Nothobranchius furzeri: one gene and its partners. The protein of the gene in region 6 interacts with the protein of the main gene of each other region in a pairwise test. Links are inferred from orthologs where the notes say so. Each region holds a gene or a part of one and is shown on either strand. Other genes may lie near its edges.

Region 1 (3,500 bases), on a different chromosome or scaffold from region 6:
CTGGATCTGGGTGCTGCTGGATAGAACTGCTGGAATGAAATTTAAAGCGGAGCGGACTCATTATATCCGACAATTTAGATGCAGTCCGATATAATCCGATAGTGTTTTTGGGCCGATATCAAATTAATCCTGATATCGATATCGGAACGGGACATCCCTAATTGATACATTCTTTTTAACATCAACTCAGTATCACAACATGAAATATAGCAATATTTCTGTGTGTCAATATTTTATTACATCCTCATTGCTTGATAATGTTTTGTCACCACTTGTTACAGTTGATTCTCAGTTATTATCAATAGTTTAAATTTAAAAGTTCATTCCAATAAGAGGTGCAAAGAAATGAAAAGTACTGGAATAAAATTCAGGGGAAAAAAGGCCAGTGCAGCCCTGAAAACAAACTTGGACACCCCGCCGCCGCCCCCATGCTGAGAGCAGAGCCTTGGAATTATTAAGTATAGAATATTTTCATGTTGTCATTGAGATAAATAACTCTGATAATGCATTATTTTTCTAAATAGTTATATTTTTAAATGAAATGAAAAGCTGTTGTATCTACAATAAAGATTCTGTGTCATTCTTGTTGTTTTATCTTTATTATTATATTGCAATTGAAATACTTGATAGCAATGTTTTTAGAGTCGTCTTACAAATGCGCCTCTAACAGAGCCCGCCCCCCCCCCCCCCCCAGTTTTAGTCTAGAACCTCCCCTGCTCAGGAAGACATACTGATCGTTTAATCAAGACGTGAAATACGTACCGACTGGTGTGTCTTGGCAGTGATGGTGCGAACAGCGTCTGTGTCCCAGATGACCAAGTCGGCATCAGAGCCCACAGCAATCCGACCCTTCCGAGGGTACAGGTTCAGGATCTTAGCAGCGTTAGTGCTGGTGACAGCTACAAACATGTTCTCATCCATTTTACCCGTGGTCTAAAAGGAGAAGTCATACAAAATACGTAAAGAACCAGATCTGTTACACAGAACCATGATATTGTTAAAAATACAATTTTATGTATATCTTAGGGGTTCTATGGGCAAGCATTGTCAAGACACACGTGTATGTGGGAGTACAGCTAGAAACAAGACCTGAATAAACCCATAAAAATGTTTAAATTTAAATCAGTAAACACATTTTTCTTAAAAGAAAAAAATTATTCTCTTGCAAGTTTCCCTAATCCAAAGACAGAGACCTAAAATTTGATTTAATCAGCAAAACGTTCCTTGAGTATTTGATTATTTTTGGGAGATGTCTTCTATTAGGTCCATTTAGTTTAAAAGTCACATTTAGCCGCGTGAAAGTGGCTATAAAAACCCACACCCGCAGCCGCCAGTCCAACTTTAGAACTTGGATCCTAAGCAGCTGTTCTCAGGAAACGTCTACTCACATTTTAAAGCCAGCACTGAATTCCAGAGAGGCTGAAATTTAGCCAGATACTGATGCACAGACGACATCAAAATGAAAGAAAAATCATTGGTTTAATGCTGCATAAAGAATAGAAAAAAAATAGATGCTATAGGGAAATTTTAAATGGTGAAAAAAAGGAAGTTGAGTTAAAGAGTAAAAAGAGAATAATGTATATATTTTTTTCTTTTTATTAATGAAAACCACTCAAGAGAGATTTGATAGTCAATGAAAATGACAGAACAAACAGTCCAGATGTAGAGTTTGAGGAGAGAAAAAACAGTCAAAGAGAACAAAAGCTATTGTGTCTGCTTTTGATCTTCCCTCACACAAAGTAAAAAGCTCAACTGGTGCTCACCACAGCTTTATCCCAGATGAGCGACATCCTTTCCTCCACTCCATTGACACCCTCTGGGATCTGAGTGAAGTCGTCCTTTCCGATGGCCTTCTGAGCCACGCTGAAGGTGCAATGAGCGCTGCCAGTTACACTCAGGTCTCCACTAGGAGGAGAGGACACATGACGATGGAATTAAACCAGCACAACAAAATCTGTTTACTCGAGTCGAGCTTTGCAAACACACAAAAATCTGTTTATTTACTTTGGCAGAATAAGGAAGCAGCGTGCCAAAGTGTTCTCTACTAATGATGCTTCCTGCTTCCATATGGTACTCATCTTTTACAAAACAAAACCCATTAGTTATAAACTTAAACATGCTAATTTTACTTTTGTTTTAAGCAGAAAGATGGAATTTTAATTAAAGTAAAAGATAATTTGCACTAGCCAGCAATTATGCAATAATTTAGCATTTATTACAAAAAATTCAATCCAAAGAGCTCAGTTTCTCATGCAGCATGGACTTTATTACTAAATAGCCTGCTTCTAGCAATGCTGACCTCAGAAACTATTCTCTCCTTGCTTGTTCTTATGCAACCTTTTCAAACTGCACACTTAAACCATGCACAGTAAACCTCCCAAACCGGAGGGAGTTGCTGTGGTGTTCACCTTGCCAGCAGTGTGTTGAGATAGTCCGGAGTGGTGGGGTCGGGACTAAGAGGAGGTGATGTAACAAAATAAGCTGCTTTGGCCCAGTTCTTGCTCCAGTAATGTGTCCCGTCAGTCCCCAGGCTGGCTGCAATGGGCTCCCCAAACACCACATTTCCTGAGAAAGAAGAAAAACAATAAATATAATGTTTAAAACTCCAGATGTGCAGAATGACCTTTTTTCCAGAGGGCTGAGACCTAACTCAAAAATTTAACAAATTAATTTTATAAACATAATGATATGCAAATGCACCAACATTATTAATAAACCATTTTTGAATTACCCTGCACTACTGTGTTGCCAAATCCTCTTTAAGAAATCAGCTATTGGCTGTGTAAACATTGCGAAATGACATCAACACATAATTTACAGAAGTGTAGGTCATCATAATGGACGCAGTAGAGGAGACATTGAGTCCCTCCCATGCGGGGGGCCTTTCTGGTTGCAGTCCCCTTGGGGTTCCTGTGTTCTGGGGCAGTGCCTGGATCTCTGGGACTTGGAGCTCCCCCCGTCTCCTACGCATCTTTGGGGGCAGATCTGTGGTCCCTCACACTCTCTATTGAACGCTCCTATAGAGAAACCTTACATAAACAAGCGCGTGTACACACACAGGTGCTCACGTGGTGCTCTCAAAAGTATGGGCTTGGGCACGTTCAACACTTGTCTCAAGGCTGTCGTTGCCACTAAATGCACTGTGATTTATTATCGTGTGATTGTTCAGTTAAACAATGTTGATTTTATATTTCATCATCACGTTGACGCAGTGATAGTTTGCTCCTGATGTATTGTTGTGTGTCCCATTTCTTTTCTGCTCTTCTTTTTCTGCAGGTCTAGAAGCAGACTCTTGTTCATTATTGTTTATTTTTGTGGAACCCCCCACCACACCACCATTTGTCTTTTCCTTTCTCTTTCACCTCTGTCTCCATGTCTAGTCGGAATTACAAAGCATTCAAAAACAATAACAATAACGTTTTAAGTATCAGACGTGACATTTAAAGCAGACGCTTTGATGCTCCACCTGAGAATAAATCTGTAAGGCTTGTTACCAGCAT
Region 2 (3,968 bases), on a different chromosome or scaffold from region 6:
ACCACCAACACAGGCAAGTTGGGTGAAGTGTCTTGCCCAAGGACACAACAGCAGAATACCCCTGGCAGGAGCTGGAATCAAACCCACGGTGCCAGGCTGGAATTACTCCTGTTCTGACCCAGCTGCACTGGCTTCCGGTGCGCTACCGCATTTAGTTTAAAATTTTACTTCTCGGTTTTAAGTCACTCTATCTTTATGCGCCTCTCTACTTGACTCAGCTGGTTCAGCCTTACGTACCTGGTCGAATTCTTCAATCAGCAGACCACCGCCTGTTACAGGTCCCAAGTGTTCGGGTGAGGATGTGAGGAGAGCGAGCGTTCTCAATCTGTGCGCCTCGTCTCTGGAACCAACTCCCCCTAGCAGTGAGAATGCCCCCCCCCCCCCCCCCTCTGATTTTAAATCACGTCTGAAGGCTCATTTTTATTCCTTAGCTTCTACTTCAGCCTAGTTGCCATTTTACGATGTTTTTTTATTTTTATTGTTTTTATAGTAGTTACTGTACTACTTTTTATTACTTCTTCCCGTGGGTTGATTTTATGCTTTTACTGTACAGCACTTTGGTTGGCCTCGGCCATGTGAAAATGTGCTTTATAAATAAAATGGAATGGAATGTTATCACATGACTCGAGGTTGTACTGCTTCTTACAGGAACATGAATGTCGCCAACCTACACAAAGATGCATCACTCAGTGACCTATATCCAGTGTCAACAACCAAAACTGCACTTCAACAATATGATAAATAATAATAATAATAATAGAGTTGAACATTTCTTAACCTCGATATATTTAGGCTGGAAAATTATTGAGTTCATTTTCATCGATCGTACGATCAATTGATTTACTGATTGTCGTCCCAGCCCTACAGACAACGATACATTTTTGATTCATCGCCCAGCTCTAGTTGGAAGGATTATTAGCTGCTAAACATACCAGTGTGATGGACAGTTTAACAAACCATTTGAAATTGCAATTTAATTCATGTATAATTGAAGAATTAATTGTTATTGAATGAATTAAATAACTTATCCGATAGTGGCACACTTGTCAATATTTCTGTAGCTTTCAAAGAAAACATAAAAGACTACAAGACAAATGCGTAACTGGAAACAATAGTCTAGCAATGCCTGCGCACAGATTTTACTTTGCTTTTGTCTGGTGAGATTCAGAATGCTCTTGCCTGGTGCTGAACAACAGATGACTGACAGCTCACTCTTCATCATTCATTTCACTCAAAGCAATCCTCCCATCGTCTTTGCTACTGATTGTAAGAGAAAGGCACAAACGTTGCACTGAAAATGTCATTTTGTACCCACTAAGTATCACTCAAATCAAGTGTTGCAACATCATTTTGATTAGTTTAAAAAAAGACCGCCCTCATCATATTCTTCTTTCATTCAAGCTAAACCTTCAAGGCCTCATAATTATTATAAACTATTATCAAAGTAATATTGCCCTGGATTTATTTATTTATTTATTTTGCTGCATGTGAGGACATGGTGGCATAACACGGTGCCAGAAAAGCAGCAGCCATACCAGCCTGAAGCAATGAGGAGCCTTTATACTTCCAAAAATAACAGCTGAGGAGATGGTCTTTTATATGATCTGAAACTGGGCTAAGAAAACCTCTGAAGAGCATTCCCTGCAGCATCAGAATGGAAACCCTTGTTTTTTTCCCGTCTAAAATAATAATAATAATAATAATGCATTTATTTGAACTTATATATCGCTTTTCTAGACACCCAAAGACGCGTAAGTCTATAGTATAATAGTAGATCATTCAATCATTATCTGAAATAGTCATTCCTCAGTAGGATCGTAGGGGCATCTAACAGATAATTCAACATCTAAATTCTCAAAATACAAGAGCAACAATTTTGTAATCTTATAGGTTGAGATATGCTATGCAAGCTGTGATCACAAGGCTGTGACACACTTTTTGACTCAGCCACATCTTGAAAACCACATTTTATTTATTTGTGTAATAAAGATGCATCAAATTATACAGCTGACATGAAATGTATCTGTCCTATTGACCTGAGGAACTCCAGATTTAGTCACCGACATAAGATGTTAAACAGTTCATTCTTTTTGTATAAACGAGTTGCAGTCCCTTAAGAAAATGTGCGTTACTCTGACATGTTTGTCCGTAATCCTTGCTGTTAAGGTCAAGGTAACGTCAAGAATGTGATGCGGTGCCTCTTTTCCTGCTAGTGAGGATATGCCCTGTAAATCCAGTTACACCAGCCTGTCAGAGTCGCTTTAGGCGGCGCTTATAAGCCCTAAATAACGATGCGACGGCTCGAGCTGTGGCTGTTTAACCTAGCATCGCCTGCCTACACGCCAGGCAGAGGAAAGCACATATGAGAAATGTTTATAATGCAGCATGACAAAGAAACCATGGTTAGCAGTAGCATTGCTAGCCCCCCTCCTCAGCTGTCAAAGCAGGGCGCATGACAGCTGAGAGGGGTGAATGAAGGGGAGGGGGGTTAAAAACAGCTGACAGACATAATAAACGCAGGAAACAAGCTCTCGACAGCTAACTGTTACAAGTTTAGAGCAGAAGTGGTAATGTTTAAAATCATACCTTAGCTTTGCCGGCCTCGAGCTTCTTTTGCCTCTCCTCGTCTTCCATTTCCGCTGTCTCTGTGGCAGAAACAAGGGGGACAGAACGTCATACGAAACGTCTGCGACAAAAGTCTCAGAGCTGAAGACTGAAGCGTGTCTCGTTCGGCTTGGCTCGAAATCACTGCCTATCTTGATTGTAGTCCGCCGCCATGTTTTCCACGTAAACATGAGACCCAACTGTGATGACGTAGTGTATGTGCACACGAAGCCGCGCCCACCTGGCATTTCATTGGTGTCGGCTTCACTTGCTGCCGGAAATGTCACCTTTTTCCACTTCCATAGCACAAACCTGTGAGTTACGTTTATAAAAATAAAAAGATCAAAATAATAATAATAATAACAACAACAATGGCCACATTATTTTAGACCTTTGAACCCACCTAGTTTAGATTCTACAAAAAAATATTTTTATAACAAATTTGAGCTATTAACTTTTTTTATTGTTTTATCTAATGTTTAAATTAATCTATTTTAAAAAGGAGAATGTCTATCAGATATTTTTTTATTTAATTTCTTAAAGTGTGTATATATTCAATATTTTAAATATTTTAAGCATTTCTGCAAATGTTTTTTTTTTGTTTGTTTTGTTTGCTCTTTAATCTTACTTACTCTATTTTTTACTCTCCTTTTTGTAAATGTAATTGCTGCAGTGATACCAACATTTTCCACTAAGGAACAATAAAGTGGTTATTCTAATCTATTCTATTCTATTCTATTCTACTCTATTAACATCAAATGGTACATCCTCAGCTCTGTAAATGTTTGTTCTTTCTGAAAACATTTGTTCTTTCTGTCATCATCTCTGCAATCACAATTTCCACATCTTTTTCTACCCATTTATCATCTTGGTTCCTTTCATCTTCACTGCAACCAGCATCACTGTTCGCTGATTAAGACGATAACTTGGCCACCCTCTCGAGGCTTTCCAGCTCGCTTTGCGTTGCAGTTGTGGAAATACCCTTTCCTCAGACTTAAGACTGGGAAACAAATATATAACTGTGCATGGAAAAATCACTCAAGGCATCGACATACAGGCAGTTTGGTAACAATATCATAAACAGATTTGAAAGCTAATTTAATACATTTTCCTGTAATATCTGAAGTCTGAATGATTTTTAATCTGCCCAGTTTCTATGGTAATGGGAAGAGAGGTTGCCAGAGCTGTCCCAGTTGAGTTTTCATTGCAATTCTAAGCTTTTTCATTTTAAAGATGTTTCCTGCTCATAAAGACCTGCCATAGGCCAACAAAGACCCGAAGGCCTGTGCAGAGCAGCTCTGTGGGATTCTGCAGAACCTCTTCAACCTCAGCCTGGCCCAGGAGAAGGTTCCAGTCCTGTGGAA
Region 3 (4,034 bases), on a different chromosome or scaffold from region 6:
CACGTTGGAGGGACTATGTCTCCCACCTGGCCAGGGAATGTCTTGGGATTCCCCCGGAAGAGCTGGCCCAAGTGGGGAGAGGAAAGTCTGGGCCTCTTGACTTAGGCTGCTGCCCCGCGACCCAACTCTGGATAAGCGGAAGAAAATTAATGGATGGATGGATTCTGTATTCTTGCAGGAATTACAAGATAACAACAATCTCCTTTGGTCTATTGTCATTTATGCAGAAACTAACAACAAAATCTCGGAAATTTCCCTTTAAGTGAGGCGTTCTTCTCTCTAGGACTGACATTTCTGATGCCTTCATTCACCGATAGCTCTGAGCGATTTCTGCTACATGAATTTTCCTGTTCCTGTCATGTTCAACTCAGACTATCAAGCTCACAGAAGAGAAATTATGAGCACAACGTTGGCATGTTCTGATCTCCATTATAGATAATCCATCTCTGATGGAGAGAGAGTCAACGCTGTTAGAATTGAAAGTTGTGTGATAATCTGAGCTGTCACTGATCTCGCTCTGTGATATGTGTGCGTGTGCGTGTGAATGTGTGTGTGTGTGTGTGTGTGTGTGTGATTTAAGAAAAAAACATTACTATTCATCATTTGCTGTTTTTTCTTTTTTCTGATTTGCAGCTCCAGACATTCAGTTGTTTCTTTAAAACGAAAAAGAGAAACAAAAACAAGTGTTTGCTCAGCTTCTGTTCTCTTGGTATGTCAAGAACAAATTCCCATTGGGAGCAGGAATTCTTTTCTCTTTGGGGATAGGACTCCCGTTCAAACAGCTTTGTTCCAGCTGGGAACAAAGAATCCCAGGGACATGGGACTGGGACTGTGAGAAGGTCACGGGACTCCCCCATTTGCCCTCCGCTGACACTGTGGGGCAGTGATAATAGAACCAGCAATAAAGTCAAAAGTTTGCCAGTCCTTGAGGCTTTGGGGTGGATTTGACAGAGGAGTGAATTCCCAACAACCCCCACCTTCCTCCACCATTTCCTCTGCATCTCTCAGTGCCACTTTTGTCCCTCGCTTTAAATCACTATTGCTAAGCCCTGGGCTCCACTTGTCAGATGTGGGACACTCTAGTCCACTCTCATATCCAAACTCCACTTCAGTACAGCTCACTAACAAAGCATCCAAGATGTCCTTTAAATTGTTTTGTTTTTTCTTTCTTTAAAAGTCATTATAAATTGGTTCCATAATGAGTCTGCACAGAAGGTGGCATCAGCTACAGCTGATGAGCTTTGGTGCTTCCTCATGAAATGTCAGACCCAGCCCATTCCAACAGGCTGCAAGTGATGATGATATATTTACGTGCAACTATGTGCATGTCCGCTCTAACACACACTGCTGGAACAACTCTGTGCAAAACAGCAAGCAACAGAAAGATAAATCAGTCTGAGATTTACATTCCCTGCATGCATCTCCATCACTTTTGCTTGCAAACAGACCAAAATAAGCATCGCTGATGAGGAATCTGCAACGAGTGGGCTGAGGATGTAAATCCCTCTCACAGCTGTTTGGGGCATTTACAGATCCTCGGATCAAAGGAAGCGGTAATCTGACACTGCTACCAGAGCTGGTGAATGACAAATGAATCACAACAACTTACTCGTTTCCACTTTGTGAGTGACGACAGCTCAGGTTAGTTAAAGCATCACTCTTCCATCGAAGGCCCTTGAACAGTCTGAATCAAACATTTCTTATTCAGAGACAACTTTTCCAACAGGACTCACAAATGCATGACACCAGTCTTTCTAAATCAGCTGTGACTTCATAGAGACTTTCAAACATCTGAGGCTGAACATTTAGTACAGATGGTGAAAAAACCCTGATACCGCTGTATGGTTGGTCCTGCAGTCTCAACACTCATAAAAGCCTGCCTTCCTCTCAACGCTGGTTCTGATCCCAGAACCAGTCAGAGGTGAAATCATTTGCGTGTAATTACTGGATCTTCGCTCCTCTCAGCCTCCCCCGACCACCACAGCACACAAAGGCGTTTAAACCCTCAGTAGATCGTCTAAAAGGGGCGAACCGCTTTCATGTGGTGTTATTTTTGGGGGTAAATTTAGATTAATTATGTTCTGACCCATATTGGGGGGCTGAGTCGATAATCCAAGGCTCAGCAGGTGTTTTGTTTTCTTTTTGGCATATCGATTCTTTTTGTGTTGGCGTGCATCACCGCAACACAATTCAATTTTTGCTCAAATCTGCGTCCGTTGGCACCGAAACCCACCTTTCATCCAGTCCACCACCTGGCTGGGGCTCCACTTGCTCACAGGCTCCATAACCAGTGCCATGGTAGAAGTTTGTCCCCACAAAAGAAGGGAAAAAAGACCAACTCCTGCACTCAAACTGGGATTATCAGTCTAAATAATCCGAAAACGCTCCTAATCACTCCCTACTGCAGATGCGCCCGTTTACAAACAAACTGGGGCAGAATAAAATAAAACAAAACAAAACCAGATGAAATGTCCAAGATGTCGTTGAGTAAAGCCCAGTGAATTCCGACGCAGCTCGGTCCTGAAGAAGCTGTTTTTTTAACTTATCATTCATGTCAGGCTCACGGGCGATGATGCTGCGGGGTCCCTGCTGCCCGAACCCGCTCCCAGAACATACCAATCGCGTCCAGAGCGGCGAACAACGCGCAGACTGTTCACTTCATCCTGCTGTCTGAAGAGGTAGCATTTGCTCTGAGTATCCTCCCACCCTCCCTTTCTCCCCTCCTCTCCCCCAGACGACATGGAGTCACAGCACAGCACCCCCACCCACCACCACCGCCTCAGCCATCACCAGAAAGCGCTCCTGTATGACTGGTGGTTAATGCCACAGGCTTGTGATTTGTTTTCATTTTGATGTATAAAGAGGTTCAGGTTCCTTATAATTAATTTTCTTCGGGGGAATTATTTAAAATAAATTGGTATGAGCTGCATCTTAAAAAGAACACTCAGTGTTTCAATTAAAATGTAATGTACTAGCACAAAAATAATTATAATATTGAATTTGATGCAGTTTTAAAGTCGAATGGCGCAGGAGACATTTAGACGTTAAAGTTTGACCACTGCACGCAGAAAACCTCATAATGAATTAACATTTATATGTCTTCATATTTCACAATGTTTAAAAATAAATATCTGTCATGATCCAGCTCTGCCCGCCCTCATCTCCATGACAACCACAGCCTGCTCTCCTTAGACTCATCTGTCACACCTGCTCCCAGTAATCAAGCTCATGCTACTCACCTGTTTCACCTGCTCTATATACCCAAGCCATGGCACCAACTCCCTGCCAGAAACCGGTTTTGCATTTGTAATACCACATATAAAAGTAGTAGTTAGAGAAAGAACTCCAGATCATTTATCTGTGTACACAGTGGAGATGATAGCTATATTATATATATATATATATAATACAATGCATCTGAAAGGGAAACATCCCACAGGTTTGTGTGGATGTGGGGTGGGGGGGGGGGGGAAACGGTGGAGCATGTTTTATGTAACTGCATAAAATATGAGGAAAGTAGAGGACAACTCAGGGAGAAATTAAAAAACATAGGAGGTGGAGTGATAAATGTAAAGAATTAGTTAAATGATGAAGAAAGGAAATATAGGTTGTAGTGATGTGTCGGTCGCGAACGAACCAGCTCTAAGAGCCGGCTCTTTGAAGTGAACGACGGGAGCCGGCTCGTCATTGGGAGCCGTCCCCTCCCCCCTCCCCTTTTGCTTTGGTGAAAGCCACAGGCGATTGATTGGTCAGCATGTGTAACTGCGTGTCCAGACTGTCCACACACAGAGCAGTAGGGGCGAGGAAGAGGGAGGATCAGACTCAGACACACAGCAGAGCACATGCGGGCGGAGGGAGACGAGAGGGAATGAGGAGGAGGAAAAAGGCGAGAGAGAGAGAGAGGAGAGTGCGACGAAGACGGTGAGAAAATGAGCGCCAGCAGTCGGAAAGTGGAGATTTCTGAAAGTGTTCAGTTATTAAATCCATAGAAATGATAAATATTTGATATATAGCATTTTTTTTACATTAGTAAA
Region 4 (3,500 bases), on a different chromosome or scaffold from region 6:
GAGAGAGAGAGGCAACCCAAAGTCATGTGACAGAAAGCAGCAGGAGGAACGGAGCTGTGCAGCTCATGAACAGGGTCATTTTTCAGGGAAAGCACTGAAAAAGTTCATTATTTTTGGTACCAATACTAAAGCGGTACCAAGTTTTAGTACCCGCCCTACTGCAGCCTTCTGTGCAATTGCAGCTCTTATCTTTACCATACCTTTTTCTTCTTTTGGTTGTCACGGTGATTCAAGGTATTAAAGCTTCATTCATGAGGAGTTTTTAACTCAAGATGAAGATGCTCAGAACTGCGAGAGGATTTATTCCTCCAAAACACTTTAAACAAAAAAAAAACAAACGGAACTAAATTACAGCAAAACGACATCAATCCCAGACTTTAAATCTATTATTACGGTCTCCTCCCAGCTGTAAGCAGCTGCCATCAAATGCTGCAAACCATCAGAACAGCTACAGACATGCTACACAAGCCAAACATACCACTGAAGCTAAATGTTTTGAATTCAATGACAGCAATGGTTCAGTTATGTCAAGCCGACATGACATGAACCCCTCACTGTGGAGCCGGGCCAAGGAATGTGGATATCTGGAGACGGAGAACCACATAGCAATCTTCTGTCACACAGATAATGGACTCACATCATCAGTGGACCATAAAGACTCTGGCAGATACTCTTCAGCACATTAATTAGCCCAAACACTGCTCAGTCATTAGCAGCATCTCAGCCCTGCCTCCGTTTAATCAAACCTCTTCATAACTAGTTTACTGCATCATTAAATTCCTCCGTACGTCCAGCCCGAAGAGAAGAATTTGAAATATTTGGGCTATTCTTTTTAAAATACTGATGAAGAAATGATGCCTACGAGCCCCAAAATTTATAGATTTGTTTATCTCACTAAAGAACTCGGCACTGATTCTGTGTTATTGTAGTTAAAATAAAGAGTGTGAACCTTCATCTTCTCCAGCTCCTGCAGGCGCTCCTGCAACTGCTCCTGCAGAGTTTCGTTCTCACTGCTCAGCTGTGTGCTCCGCTCCTTGTGCGTACGCATCACTTCTTTGCACTTCTGCAGCAGGTTCTCTTGCCTCTTCACCCTCTTCTGTAGAGCCTCCATGAGTTTGGTTGGATCACTGTTGCCCTCTCCTGTTCAGAAAATTAAAATGCAATTGTTGTAAAATAAAATCTTTAGCTCCGTAGAACAAAAAGACACACTTTCACTTTTAAGTTGATTCACATATGAGCAGATAAAAACATTTCTTGCCCTCGGTGCTCTCTGGCTCCAGTCCTTCCTCTTTCGACGGACTCTGCATTACAGATGTAGAACCTTGAGCTTCCCCAGACTGGAGAACGTCACCTTCAGCAGGGAGCGACCCATCTGTAGAAACCCCCTTAACTCGCTTCTTTAACAAAGCAACCTTAAAAAAAGAAAAACAAAGAAATTAAAACTGCTTTATGACAAAATGGGCTTCCAGTGTTCCACACCTTTAAGTGGGTGAGTGAAGTGTTTTTCAACATTATACAGTTAAAGACACCAAGTTGGAGTTCTGATGACTCAAATAATAAATAAATGAAACAGACATTTTTAAATTTCGTTTTAAATGTTATGTTTATGTATTTAGCAGACGCTTTTGTCCAAAGCGACGTACAAGTGATAATCGGCATGTTGCCCTTGAGGCTAACAACAATAACAACAACAACAACAACAAACAATTTCCAGTCAGTCGTAGGTGGCAGTGAGGCAGCATGATGAATCATGGAGAGGAGGGAACAAGGAGTGGACAGTAGAGAGGGGGGGACAGGTGCAGGGAGGGTGCTAGTTTAGAAGATGCTCTCTGAAGAGCAGGGTCTTCAGGAGTTTCTTGAAAATCGAAAAGGAAGACCCTGTTCTGGTAGTGCTTGGTAGGTCATTCCACATTTGTGGAACGATGCATGAGAAGAGTCTGGATTGTCCTGAGCGTGGTGTAGCCACTGCTAGCCAACGATCCTGTGATGACCGGAGCGGCCGGGCCGAGACGTAAGCCTTTGCAAGAGGATTCAGGTAGATGGAAGCCGTACCATCTCAGACTTTGTATGCTAGTGTTAGCAATTTGAATTTGATGTGTGCTGCTAGCGGTAGCCAGTGGAGCTCAATGAACAGAGGGGTGACGTGTGCTCTTTTTAGCTGATTGAAGACCAGACGCGCTGCTGCATTCTGGACCATTTGAAGAGGTCTCACAGTACAGGCTGGAAGACCAGTTAGAAGGGCATTGCAGTAATCGAGGCGGGAGATGACAGTAGATTGCACCAGGAGCTGGGTGGCATGTTGTGTTAGGTATGGTCTGATCTTTCGTATGTAATACAGTGCAAAGCGGCATGAACGAGCAACAGAGGCAACATGATCTTTAAAGGTCAGGTGTTCATCAATCTCAACACCCAGATTTCGAACTGCCTTTGAAGGAGCCAGAGATAGGAAGTCATTCTGGATTGAGATATTGTGCTGTATGGATGGTTTTGCTGGGATGACAAGTAGTTCAGTTTTAGAGAGGTTGAGTTGGAGATGGTGGGATTTCATCCATTTTGATATGTCAGAGTTTGATATTCATGCAGAGACAGCGTGGTCGTCCGGTGGAAATGACAGATAGAGCTGGGTGTTATCGGCATAGCAGTGGCAGGAGAAGCTATGTGATCGAATGATCTCACCCAATTAGGTGGTGTATATGGTAAAGAGAAAAGGTCCTAGTACAGAGCCCTGGGGACTCCTGTGGCAAGATGGTGCACGGTAGAGGATTGTCCAAGCCAAGATACACTGAATGATCATCCTGTGAGGTACGATTCAAACCAGGCATGTGCTTTCTCTGTGATGCCCATGCTAGAGAGTGTGGACAAAAGGAAGCCATGGTTAACAGTGTCAAATGCAGCCGATAAGTCGAGCAGGATAAGCACTCAGGATTTGACAGTCGCTCTAGCTTCTTTTAAGGAATCCGTCACTGCTAACAGAGCAGTTTCAGTGGAGTGGCCCTTTTTGAACCCAGATTGGTAAGGGTCAAGCAGACAGTTTTGTGAGAGGTATTCTGTGATCTGCTTGAAAGCCACCCTTTCAATGATTTTGGACAGAAAAGGGAGGAGAGAGATAGGTCGGTAGTTCTCCACATGATTTGGAGGAAGAGATGTTTTTTTAGCAGCGGTTTAACCTGAATGAGAGAGGTGGCAAATGTACCGGATGTCAGTGAAGCGTTGATCACGTGTGACTGCTGCGGCTACTGTAGGAGCAATAGCTTGGACCCGCTTAGTCGGAATGGGGTCCAGTGGGCATGTAGTAGGGCGGCTGCACGTGAGAAGCTTGGACACACAGTTCTCAGTGAGAGGGGAAAAAGAGGAAAATGAAGCAGTAGGGCTTGAGATGGTTGGGCTAGAAGGAGTTTGTGGTAGCGAATGTTCAGGAGTGGCCAGTTGAGTAAACTGTTTGCTTATAGCTGCCACTTTGTCAGTGAAGAATGAGGCAAAGGTGTCAGCTGATAGATTGT
Region 5 (4,018 bases), on a different chromosome or scaffold from region 6:
TCAATAAAGTGGCCAGTGAGTTTTTGTTCATGTTTGCTTTCAGATTAGTTTGAAAGAAATTTTAATGTAATTAATATGAATTATTGTTTAGTTCACCAACTAAAAAACAACACTTTAGGTATAAATTTAGTTTTTTATGCAGAATTCATTCAAGGTAGTTTCAGAAATATTTAGCTTGGATAAATACAACTAGGCAACACTGTGGTGTGTTGGGTTGAACTGCATTTTTCATGTTTTCCTGCAACTTCCTGCCAAAAACTATGTAGGTCGTGTTAATTGGGGATTTTGAACTAATGAGTCTGCAGGATTGTTTACCTTTTTTGCTTCTTTGTGTTTGTCTGGTGACCTGCAAGTTATAGTTTCTGCTCTGAGCAGAGTTGAGCAATGGAGGAAAATGTTATTTTCACGAAAGCATCTTACCAAATATTAAACAATCATTTAATGTGTCATCAGTGTAAAGAATGCTGCTTGTTGTTGCATTACAAAGCTCCATGTTGCTCATCCTGGTTTCAAAGTGGTGGTTGTGTTGTGGTTGGAAACATCAGACATTTTAGATGAGTCACAGTCTGTGAATCAGATGTTTGTCTCCCTGCTCAGCAGCGTTCAGCTCTGCCGATAAATCTGAAAACTTCTGGAAAGGTCGTCATGCGTCACGGCCATCAAGTCACCGGAAATAAACGCTGCAGTCACCGAAAACATGGTTGCATTTCAAAATAAATGTTTGTTTTTTTACTCCACATTTGTGTAAAAGAAGGTAAATTTGAACAAGTAACATAATCTCACTGGAGCTTAAACCTTGTTCTGTTTGAAGTCCGCTCTTATTCAGTGACACAAATGTGAAAATTATGGAAGAAATAAAAGATTTAACAGTAATGTGAGATTAAAAAGTAACCTAGTAGCATAGCTTATTTTAGCAAAAAAGATGTATTGTAGACAAAATGATCTGTTATCGCTTCCATTTTTCTAAATATAATAAAATCAAACAATACATTAAATCTCACTGAGACAAATACATATTTTTGTGTATCTCATTAAAACATTTTAGGAGCAGTGTGCTTATCAGCTAACAACCAGCTATCTGTAGCATTACCTTTAAATGTCATTCTATTTCAATAAATCCTCGTGTTATATGTTTGCCATGAATTTCAAACACTAAATATGTCTTTCGTTTTGTTTGTGTTCAACTCGACTAAACGTTCCTGTTAGTTTTATTCTGAAGGGTCAGGCAGGAAGTTGGTGTGTTGTTACGTCGCTGGGACGCCGTTGATGCTGCAGCCTCCCTGCACCGTTCCCGTTAGCCTCCTGCTGAACATAAATACCGGCAGCAGCGGCACTGGTGTGGCTTCAGATCCAGGAAATTCAGAGGTGAGTCTCAGGAACTTTCTTTCTTTTTTAATCTTTTGCACCAAAGGGATGCGCATTAAGATAAATGATGCTTTTTCGAGTTCAAACCGCTTCAGATACTGTTTTATTGTCAAATGATAATTGTAATAAGAATAACATTTTGTAAGTAGAATCTTTAAAAATCTATTATTTAGGTCTCTGCTGTTGATTTATGGTGCAAACATGCATGACTGGTGTTTGTTTTGCTTACCCACGGGTGTGACCTGATTAAAAGCAACTGGATTAGTTTAGATGACGTCACTCTTTGGTTGGTTTACCTTACAGACATCAGCATAAACACTGCAAAATAAGAAAAGAAAATTCAACCAAAACAATAAATTTGTCAGTTTTTTTTTATTATCTAACAGACATTGTAAACAGCATCAATGTATGCTGTTAATTTATGATCCCGCTGACAGAACTTAAAGTTTTTATACATGATTTATTTGTGTTCATTTAAAGATGACCTTGATTTTCTGCATGGCTGTTTAAAAAAAGTTCCTTCTGGGTGCACAAATCCCCAAACACTTAAAATAAGGTGGAAATGGGGCCACACGTGTAAGCGTCCCATTTGCAGAAAAGATTAGTCGTTCTCACCTTACATGAACCTTAATTATAACCTTATATCTCCGTAGGATGAAGGTGTTTTGATTTTAAATGCAAACATCAAAAACATTCATCCTAAATATTAAAATACAGCAAAAACAATATATTATGTTTAATTGCTTCATGCAGGATGTGAAAACATTAAAATAGGCTTAGGAGTCTCTTAAATTCCAAAGGAGATGTTCTGCAGGCTTAAATTTTCTTTAGGATGAAAGTTTATTATTAATAATAGTAGTAGTAGTAGTAATAATAATAATAATAACGATAACTGGTTATTATGGAAAAGAAAAACAATCTTTGCAATCTTGTCTTTTTACAAACTATTAAGAAGTCCATCTGTAGTGCAGTGGGTGGAGGGTGCTGCAACATCTGGAGGAGTGTTGGTATTTCAGTTGTGTAACCAGAATCCCTGCAGCTGTGGCTCTGCAAACAACGCCGTCCGACTCCTACCTTGTCTGACTTTCTCTGCTGTTTTCTCTCCTCTGACGCACGTTTTGTTCTTTCCACCCACTACAGTTTGCCATATTTTCACATTGCTGTTTCCACAACTGATATTTAAAATCTAAATGTTTAGGACAAAATGAAAAATGCTTTACCAGAGATTTATCATCAAATAAATCATGAGCTCTTTGTGTTTTATGATGTCTGTTCTTCCGCAGTGGGTTTTAAGCCTGCAGTTAAATTGAATAACCTTAAAAATGAAAGTTGTTCAAACAAAATATTAACTCAACTTGACCTGAAAATCATTAAACATTGATCTGGTGATTACATAAATGTGGTGGTTTGGAATGAAGAAGCTGCTGCTTCTGTGTTTTTCTTGTTACCATCGAAACAGGTGGTGATGGTGGGCGTGAAGGTGACGGTGGACAATAATAAACCATAAAATGTGATTAAAAGATGAAAAAATAAAGTCGTTTACATCTAAACCAGCTTTGTTTGTTTTGATTCGGCCCAGACTAAACAATAAAAGAACCTTGAGATAATAATCGTGAGAAACTTCAGCAGACTAAATCACTGAAGGCCAATAAATCCAGACCTAAAACTGTTAGTTTTTATTAACGTAGAGCAAAACCATCAGATCTGTTGGATTCTTCAGTTTCACAAAATATCCATGGTTTGGATGTTTATATTTTCTAGAAGTTTCATATATCAAAATTTCTGTCAGCTGCATAGTTTGGTGCTTGGTTGATGTGTTAATTCCACACGAGAAGAGTATATTCTACTACCAAAGAAAATGGAAGTACATATTTTTATTGTGAAGACGAGTTGTCGTGGTGATTTATTAGTTAGGAGTTGAGTGTTTTTTTGGTAACGAATCCTCTGATCCTTCATCCATCTGCCAACTCCTGCAATAGTTTGGTTACCTGTAAGGCGCCGTGCACAAATTCAAATGTCACCATTTTGCAACAGCAGAGACCTTTCCAAGGAATAAACCAAATCCCTGCAGATTTAGGATTGAATGTTTGTCTTATTCTTTTACTGTAATTTGTATTAGACATTATAATTTAGTGAGCCGCTTTGAATGGCAGAAGCCTACTAATCACCTGCTGATTGAAAACAGGTGTGTTGAAGCAGGGTTAAAACCAAAACGTGCTGGATACCGGCCCCCTAGGACCAGGATTGGGCACCCCCTGCTGTAAAGCGTCATTTTAGCACAAATGATCTAAACATTCAATAACTATTTTCTCCTAAAAAATCTGCACCAACTCTTCTTCTGCAAAACAATGACATCATCAGCAAAAGCAAACAGTTTTCTTTAAGGAGATGTTTCTATTTTGTAACTTTCAGCAGCAAATTTCAATGTGTTGCCATGGAGACGGGAGTTTTAGTTTTATTCTGTTTATTTAAACCATGACTCATTCATTTAGTCTTCGTTATTTAACATGAAATCTTCTGTTTCCAGCATGAGATGCAAATCCTAAATGTTTCCTGTGCTTATAGACAAAAAATGATTGTGTGAAGTGTTAGAGAACATTAATTACACCGCCCAGATAAATCAGCACACAGATGAGAGTTCGTCTTTCTGGTA
Region 6 (4,066 bases):
CCTTGTCATCTCACATTTCTTCCTGTCATCCCTTCAGCCCATCCATCTGTTCCACTCATCCTTCATTTCTTTCTTTCTCAATTTTCAACCGTCACTCTCCATCGGTCATTTCCATCCATCTTTCTTAGCTTTTTGATCTGCAGGGATTCAAAGAATGTCTTTTATCATCTAAAGCCAAAAGGTGTGCTATGGTATTTTGGCCCGTGTGTTTTCTCTATGTGTCCCCTGAACTATAGAAGGAATGTTAATTAAAAGCCTCTAATTTATAACTGTTATTTGTTTCCATGCTGGTCCCTGTGCACTTGCTGGTAATAGATTTAAATTTGGAAATGAAAATTTCCCATTAGAAAAATCCCAACACATTTGTACGTTTAAATAGATTTAGACTTTAAGCAGCTCCATCATAGTCTTGGACAGGGGAAAATAGGTCAACTTGAAGTATGCTGGCAGCGTTGGAAGGGAGGATGTGAGGAAGAGGGGCCGTTTCTCAGTGACAAACTGCCATACAGTATATATGGACTATTCATGAATACTCTCTGTGTAAGCCTTGGGCACTGCTGTGGCCCCGTTACTATGACGTTCGTGGTGAGCGGATGAGGAATGCGGCCTTCCAATGAAAGAGAGGGAGAAGACGTTTCAGCTTTTCTCTACTTTAGTCACTGGTCACATCTCCACCTTTCAACTCTCTCTAAGCTGCATCCTTTTCTCCCTCTGCACCCATCACTCTCTCTGCAACAGTAGCTTCACCTGCCCTCTCTTTCAGATCCGATCTCACACCTGAGTCCCTGCACAGATTACTCCACCACCAATGTGTGCAGTGTTGTGAACTTCCTGCTGGTTTACCATCTGTTGCTCTCATCAGCTGACTGGATGAGCCAGTGCTCCTGATGCCTCTGACCTCAGCGTGCTCTCACCCCATCCAGAAATAACACAATATCCGTGTTTTTTTTTAATCACAGCATTTCGACCTTGGCTGTCATTGTGAGTCACAACAGTGGCGCTGGACCACAAGCATTGACTTTCTCGCTCAAGCGAAACACTCTGCGTCTGTAACAGGTGCTGCTGGGGTTTTCTGTGCAGTGAATGTTGCAGACAAGAAAGAGAGCTGACAAGGAGCACGTAGCCACAGGGGACAGCATAGAGAATATCGCACAGAGGTGCAAGCACAACAAAACACTTCCCTCTTCACTCTACTTCCTGTTTAGCTCTGTCTACCTTTTTAAGTCTTTAAATGTGTCCCAAAAGAAAATTATCCCCCTTCACCTCTATGAAATATGTACACTTAGACTGAAAAACACATACAGTGCTCCATCATCAAGATCAGTATTGTAAACACAGAACTCCCCCCCTCCAGTCACTGCACCCCCTCTCCATGCGTCAGAGACAGCTGACCTACTTCCTGTCTAGCCAGCTCAGTGGTTGACACTACACTCATCTTGAACTCATTGTCTGCATCTATGTTTGTGAACAGATCCTGGATGACAGGGCTCGTAAAAACATGTTGGAGAGACCTTTTAGATGCCTTCAAATTATTTTGCCAACCGTTGTTCCTAATAAGACTGTGTGTAAAACACTTTATTACAAGTTGTAGGCTAATACTGAATTTTTTATTTTTATTTTTTACTTAGGATGAATAATTGGATTTGTCACTCAGGACCTTGCTGGTATTTATTGTGGAGAAATGTGCTGCAAAAAGCACCAACACAAGTTTTTTTCATATATTCTGGTAACTGCTCATTTTCTACTGATGAACTTTCAAAACAGATTCAGCTTGTAAAATGAAAAGCGAGCATTGTTTTTTTGTTCTTGTTAATCTCAGAGACACCTATAGCATCACGCCTTGACTCCCAGTGCCTGGCCACTTCCCCCCATTTCCTTGTTCTTCCTCATTCCTCCACTGCTTCGTCACGTATGTGCTCCTTTAAGCTGCAAACTATTTTCATGTTAAGTTAAATAACATTTTTTTTCTTCACCTGACACTTAAACCACCCCCCACTGCAAGCTGGCAGAAAAGGGCAACAGGCGATAAACTGATGGAAAACAGAGATGCAGGCTGCAGCTAAGCTCATGCAGACATGATGGCTTTAAGAACATAAAAATGGACAACCGAGCAAATGTGATGCCTTGCAAATGCACCATAAACGACTGAGGGCAAGATTGTGGTTCTCATGTGTGGCATCTTTAATGCCACTGTAATCTTGGCACAGTGAAGTGATATTCTGAGTGCACAGGCAGACAGCAGGCAGTGCCCACAGGTTGAATAGGACAGAAGAAAAGTAGTTTTAGTTTCCAAACGGCTTTAGAGAAGAAACAGACAACCTAAGCGCTGACTATCCATGTCAGCAAAAATCAGCAGGAGACATCAACTCAGCATCACCAGCTGCATTTCATTTCTGACCCTAACAAATTGGCCTCTGTAGAAGCTTTCCTCCTAATTTGGGACATTCTATTTATCATTTAGAGGCTAATCTAATCTTCTGGTGCAAGAAAATAATAAGGCACCTCTGTTCCTATTTTTTTTTCAATGAAATAAATCTCACCTGTAATTCATTTAGGTCGATGTCGACTTTCCGCCTTGGAGAGTCACTCGGCATGTACATGGTGAACACAAAAATTCTCCTTGAGCTGTCAGTTATCCGGACTCGGCTGCCACCGCCGATTTGTGCGGTCTCTGATGCTCCACGGATCCCTCTTCTTCTTGCTAGAGTGATCCCAAGTGGACAGAAAATAACAAAAAGCACGTTCGGTTTTTTTCTCTATAGTCCCGGACGCGCTCGGGGATCGGGTGCGCGCAGCTACAGCGCACACGCTCGGAGGATGGAGCGCATCAATACTTCCATGTGTGCGGGGATGTGGAAGGTGAAGCGCTGCGGCGGATGGATTGCCTGTTTTCTGCTGTGACTGCAAGCCGGTAAATACGGAAAGGGAGAGAAGCGCACTGGCTCCTCACATAAACCCCGCCCGGTAAAAAGGCGGGGTTTGTCTGAAACGGTAACCCCTTTCAATAAAGTAACTTTCCTCTCTCTGCCAGGTCAACCTTTGCTCTTTATTAATAAAAAGCGCCTCATCTTGTTTCTTTTTTTCAGTTTAACGTTATGAGTTTATGAAATAGCCCAAAGCTGTTTTTGTCAAATATAAATGAAGTTTTCCAAATGATCTGTTTTTTATTTAATAAAAAAAGGACAAAAGAAGAACAAAAATGACATTTTAAGAACCCCTACTGGTGAGGAGAATTAGTGTATTAATTAAAAAAAACTTTTCATTTAATGAAGCGTTTCAAAAGTTGGCAATTGTGTCACACTAAACATCTAGATTTTTAAATAAAAGAAATTAAAGCGTATCACCATCAGTGAGGGGAAAAAATAAGGATCATCAAGACACTTTCTCATTAAAACATCTACATTTAATAAGAAGCTTTCTTGTTGAAATGTAAAGAAGAAACAAAGTAAGATGAAGTCAGGGGGTGCCCCCAAGGGGTGGCCATGGCAACCCCTAGAAAATTATTTCCAGGCAGAGTTCTTACATATTGCTCCTTTAATGTTTGTATGGAACATGTGTAATTGTTGCAAACCAAGCTTGACATGAATGTTGCAACATACACTTGATGAAAGCACATACTGCTTCAGGTGAAGTCAACTTTCAATAGGCATGTGACATTCTAGTTGATTAGGTGCTACTTGTTCGACCATTTATTTTTCGTGTTTCTGCTCTAACCCTAACCCTTGTCAAATCCCTAGTCAGTTGTAGTTCTGCTGGAGGTTTCTTCCTGTTAAAGGGGAGTTTTCCTCTCCACTGTTGCTGCATGTTTGCCACAATCTGCTGGATTTCCTCCCATAGGACAACGTTTAACCAGTTTGAAAAATGAACTGAACTCAGTGCACTGATAAGTAGGTGGGTTAGGGTTAAACTCTGGTTAGCTACAAATTTTATAAACTGCAGCAAAAAAGCATGTGATGCATTAATATTAGACTGGTGTCAAGTGCTCAAAGGCTTGTAGCATTCAGATAAGACAACGACAGACGATGACACCTCCTTCAATGACACCTCCTTGGAGGAAATCTCACTA
Region 7 (3,500 bases), on a different chromosome or scaffold from region 6:
TTCATGTTCTACCGAGGCGTGCGTTCTCTGTTAGCCGTTTAACTAGCTGAGCAAGGATATACGGGAGGTGTCTTGTAGCCTAGCCTTGGTCAACAATTCCCCAGAATACACCACGATAATTTCAAAAGGATGGATCAGAAGCTGGCAGCTACTTCGGGGACAATTTTCAAGTTTAAAAGCAAGTCAGCTAATTTAAAATGTTTTTTTCAGATCCAAAGAAGTTATCTATGGTTGGTTAGTTGCTTAGTAGTTGCAGCTTCGGTGGCTAGCGGGTAGTAACTCACTTATATTTTTAATTTAATTAACATGTACACAATTTAAAAAGTAAAAGGCTCGTTATATATTTATATTGAAACTAATACAGTGATCCCTCGCTACTTCGCGGTTCGTTTATCGTGGATTCACGACTTCGCGGATTTTTTCTTTGGAGCCTTATTCAAGGGAAATTCGCCGATTCGCGGTGTTTTTCTATGCGAAATATCAAGAAATTCCTGTTTTTTTTTTTCATCAATTTCATCATAAAATGCACTTTTTGTAATAAAACTATAAAAAAACAAGTAAAAATACAGTACTATGTAAAGGGAGGGTTTCAAAAGTCTGAATACTGAATACGTACCTGTTAAATAAATACTGTAAATATGGTGTCCCTACTTCGCGGATTTTCACCTATTGCGGCCAGGTCTGGAACGCATCTACCGCCATACACGAGGGATCACTGTACATATAAAATATAACATTATCTCCCGTGTCACGTGATGTTACGTCACCGCCGTGGAAGCCGCGGTCACTTGATGCAAGTCTGTTCCATTTTACCGTTTTCTTTGACCTAGGAAGGACAGTGTCCTCGTACGCAAAGCGCCTGGCCTCGCGAGGCCAGGCGTCTTGACATTGAGAAACACCCAGCGATGAGAAGGTCCTCCTCAGTATGATTCATCTGTTGGCTGATTAGTTTAAACATTCATTAGGATGCTTTGGTTTTCTCACCAGTTTTCGACCAGCACCAACAAACTGGCTGAGAAGGTTCGCCTGAGTCTGAAGTACGAGGAGGCCAAGAGGAGGTAACAACACTTTAACTCAGTCAGGAGATCCTGATTTAGCTGGGACGTCGTTGGTTTGTTTAGATAAACGTGTGTGTACCAGTAGAACTGCTTCAGATGTTCTGAAAGCCTCAGCTTCCTGTCTGTAAGTGGGAAGTCTGGACCGTGATCCAGCTGCTGCCAGAGCAGCTGTGGCTACGCTGTAGCTCATCATCACCAGCGTGTGGATGTGTTGCAAAGCACCTTGGGGGGTTGTAGAACCCTAGAAGGCGCTACGTGAATACAAGCCATGTATCATTTATAGTGAGCGGGAAGTCCTAAGTGGGGAAGTCTATGAAGCACAAGATGGATCTGAAACCGGCAACGAGTCCCGCAGATATCGGGCAGTTCCTCGGATACTGGACCGTGGAAAGTTCGTCCAAGAATCTGCTTGGAGAATGGAGCTAAAGTGACCCGGGTCCATCCAGAACCCTGATGTTTCAGACTCAATAGTTTGATCCCATGCTGGACTGGTGGAAGATGTGAGGCTGGAATATTTAGATCCTCTGGAACTTTCACATAAAATAATCTTTTCTGCCTTCACAGGACCCGTTTTCTTAAATGTTTGATCTGAAGTTGATCCGTTTGGTCTTCCCTTCTGCTGTGGAGCCAGCTATAAACCAGGGTGCTCAGCTTTAACCATAGCGTCCTCACCTTCTCCTTCCAGGATCGCCAACATTGAAGTTCAGATCGCCAGACTGGACAGCGAGGCGTGGCCGGGGCTGCTGGACCCGGAGCGGGACCGACTCATCCTCATCAACGAGAAGGAGGAGCTGCTGAAGGAGCTGCAGTACGTCAGCCCCCGGAAGCGCCTGGAGCCCAACGACGCCGAGAAGCTGGAGACGGAGAAGAAACGTCTGGAGAGAGACCTGCAGGCGGCCAGAGACAACCAGAGCAAAGCTCTGACCGAGAGGTGCTTCAGATCGGAGCTTTTGTCTACAGAAAGGTTTTTATGGGTTTAGCTGCAGGGGGATCAGAGAGCTGTGAGATGAATAACTCGGATCAGATCAGCTGGTGAGACCTCTGACCCTTGGATACTCCTGTCTCGTTTTCCTCCATCAGGTCTCCCTGTCCACACACACACACACACACACTCACACACACCCCTCTAACAGGACCGTTGTTGTTCGAGCTCCAGGTCAGACTTTACCTGAGCCCCGTCTCTCTTTGTGTCTCGTCTCCTGTTCCTGAAACCCGAGATGCCGCTAAGCCTCGACACAAGGACCTCTTGTAGCGCACACACACACACACACACACACACACACACACACACACACACACACACACACACACACACACACACACACACACACACACACACACACACACTGAGTCTGCAGCTCTGGAAATGCAACATTCTTTTCTTTTACCGAGTTTCAGAGAAGACGAGAAACCAGACGCAGTTAGCCCCCCCCCCCCCACACACACACACACACAACAGAAACTAACAGTTCGTCTTTGATAATTTCGCACCGTCCAGGTTTGTTCTGCTGCTTTTAGAAAACATTGAAGCTAATTATTCATGTCGGGTTGATAAACGATGGATTCTTCCTTGTTTTGGGTCAAATCTCTAAACCAGCTGGCCGTTTTCTTCCGTCCCTTTGAGTTTCTTTGTTATGTTGTTTTGTTTTTGTGTTCTTAATAATTCACAGACTAGCAAACTTTGTAGTTTTACTTTTTACTGACAGTTTCGGCTCTCACTGGCGCCTTCCTCGGAGTGGTGGTGATGTCACTTCCTTGCTGTTTCATCAATGGGCAGTCGCCCTCTACTTTCCACTTCCTGTTTGTCGATGACCATGTCCCATATGTGATCCACTCTCCTCCATCTCTGTCCACGTCTCCTTTAATCCGTCGTTGCTGACTTTGGCCAATATAGAAAAACTTGTATATATCGGTCTGCCTCTAGTTTTCTGGTTATTTTATTAAACTCCGCTCCCTTCTGTGATTTCAGGCTGCGGCTTCACTGTAAGAGGAACAAGCTGGTGAGAGAGCTGGAGGAGACGGTCCGCCTGGCCACGACGCTGCATACGCAGCTCAAGAGGTCCGTACTCGTCTCCACCAGGAAAGATGGAGTCAAACAACAGCAGCTTCTAAAGCGTAGTGCAGGAAGTTGGACTTTTAGCAGCACGAGCATCAGTCAGTCGGAAAGATTGGGTTGTGTTTGTGAGGAGGTTCTGACGCCTGCTGCTGCTCTGGGTTCGTTCGGCTCAGACGTTTTCTGAGGAAGTAAAAAGCCTGGATTGCTCGTGGGATTTGTGACGTACTGATGTGGTTCTGAGACTGTAGTTTCTTGACTAGTTCCATAAATGAAATGGATGAAAAAATAAACACAAGTAGATAAAAAGCATCATTTACTGGATGCTTGCTCAGATAAAGCTTTAACTGTTAAACCACCGCTTTTATCTTTAGTATCTGAATAACGGA

The links.
Region 1: the proteins of tnika (region 6) and dpysl3 interact in a two-hybrid assay, tested with the Homo sapiens proteins (2 studies listed by BioGRID and IntAct). The link is inferred for Nothobranchius furzeri from reciprocal best matches to the Homo sapiens genes TNIK and DPYSL3.
Region 2: the proteins of tnika (region 6) and akap9 interact in a two-hybrid assay, tested with the Homo sapiens proteins (2 studies listed by BioGRID and IntAct). The link is inferred for Nothobranchius furzeri from reciprocal best matches to the Homo sapiens genes TNIK and AKAP9.
Region 3: the proteins of tnika (region 6) and connector enhancer of kinase suppressor of ras 2 interact in a two-hybrid assay, tested with the Homo sapiens proteins (2 studies listed by BioGRID and IntAct). The link is inferred for Nothobranchius furzeri from reciprocal best matches to the Homo sapiens genes TNIK and CNKSR2.
Region 4: the proteins of tnika (region 6) and golga4 interact in a two-hybrid assay, tested with the Homo sapiens proteins (2 studies listed by BioGRID and IntAct). The link is inferred for Nothobranchius furzeri from reciprocal best matches to the Homo sapiens genes TNIK and GOLGA4.
Region 5: the proteins of tnika (region 6) and clu interact in a two-hybrid assay, tested with the Homo sapiens proteins (2 studies listed by BioGRID and IntAct). The link is inferred for Nothobranchius furzeri from reciprocal best matches to the Homo sapiens genes TNIK and CLU.
Region 7: the proteins of tnika (region 6) and wwc1 interact in a two-hybrid assay, tested with the Homo sapiens proteins (2 studies listed by BioGRID and IntAct). The link is inferred for Nothobranchius furzeri from reciprocal best matches to the Homo sapiens genes TNIK and WWC1.

The regions. Positions count from the first base shown.
Region 1 is NC_091750.1:58,232,483-58,235,982, forward strand, and holds part of dpysl3 (dihydropyrimidinase-related protein 3), read right to left. Parts: intron 2,566-3,500; coding exon 2,409-2,565; intron 1,906-2,408; coding exon 1,764-1,905; intron 934-1,763; coding exon 763-933; intron 1-762.
Region 2 is NC_091759.1:4,646,294-4,650,261, forward strand, and holds the start of akap9 (A-kinase anchor protein 9), read right to left. Parts: upstream 2,801-3,968; 5' UTR 2,635-2,800; coding exon 2,587-2,634; intron 1-2,586. UniProt on the Homo sapiens protein: Scaffolding protein that assembles several protein kinases and phosphatases on the centrosome and Golgi apparatus. Required to maintain the integrity of the Golgi apparatus. Required for microtubule nucleation at the cis-side of the Golgi apparatus.
Region 3 is NC_091750.1:48,216,412-48,220,445, forward strand, and holds the start of connector enhancer of kinase suppressor of ras 2, read right to left. Parts: upstream 2,801-4,034; 5' UTR 2,298-2,800; coding exon 2,234-2,297; intron 1-2,233.
Region 4 is NC_091752.1:16,187,216-16,190,715, forward strand, and holds part of golga4 (golgin subfamily A member 4), read right to left. Parts: intron 1,413-3,500; coding exon 1,259-1,412; intron 1,141-1,258; coding exon 950-1,140; intron 1-949. UniProt on the Homo sapiens protein: Involved in vesicular trafficking at the Golgi apparatus level. May play a role in delivery of transport vesicles containing GPI-linked proteins from the trans-Golgi network through its interaction with MACF1. Involved in endosome-to-Golgi trafficking.
Region 5 is NC_091742.1:12,226,408-12,230,425, reverse strand, and holds the start of clu (clusterin), read left to right. Parts: upstream 1-1,218; 5' UTR 1,219-1,365; intron 1,366-4,018.
Region 6 is NC_091758.1:22,641,741-22,645,806, reverse strand, and holds the start of tnika (TRAF2 and NCK interacting kinase a), read right to left. Parts: upstream 2,801-4,066; 5' UTR 2,601-2,800; coding exon 2,541-2,600; intron 1-2,540. UniProt on the Homo sapiens protein: Serine/threonine kinase that acts as an essential activator of the Wnt signaling pathway. Recruited to promoters of Wnt target genes and required to activate their expression. May act by phosphorylating TCF4/TCF7L2.
Region 7 is NC_091750.1:71,325,306-71,328,805, forward strand, and holds part of wwc1 (protein KIBRA), read left to right. Parts: intron 1-987; coding exon 988-1,058; intron 1,059-1,743; coding exon 1,744-1,989; intron 1,990-3,027; coding exon 3,028-3,117; intron 3,118-3,500. UniProt on the Homo sapiens protein: Regulator of the Hippo signaling pathway, also known as the Salvador-Warts-Hippo (SWH) pathway.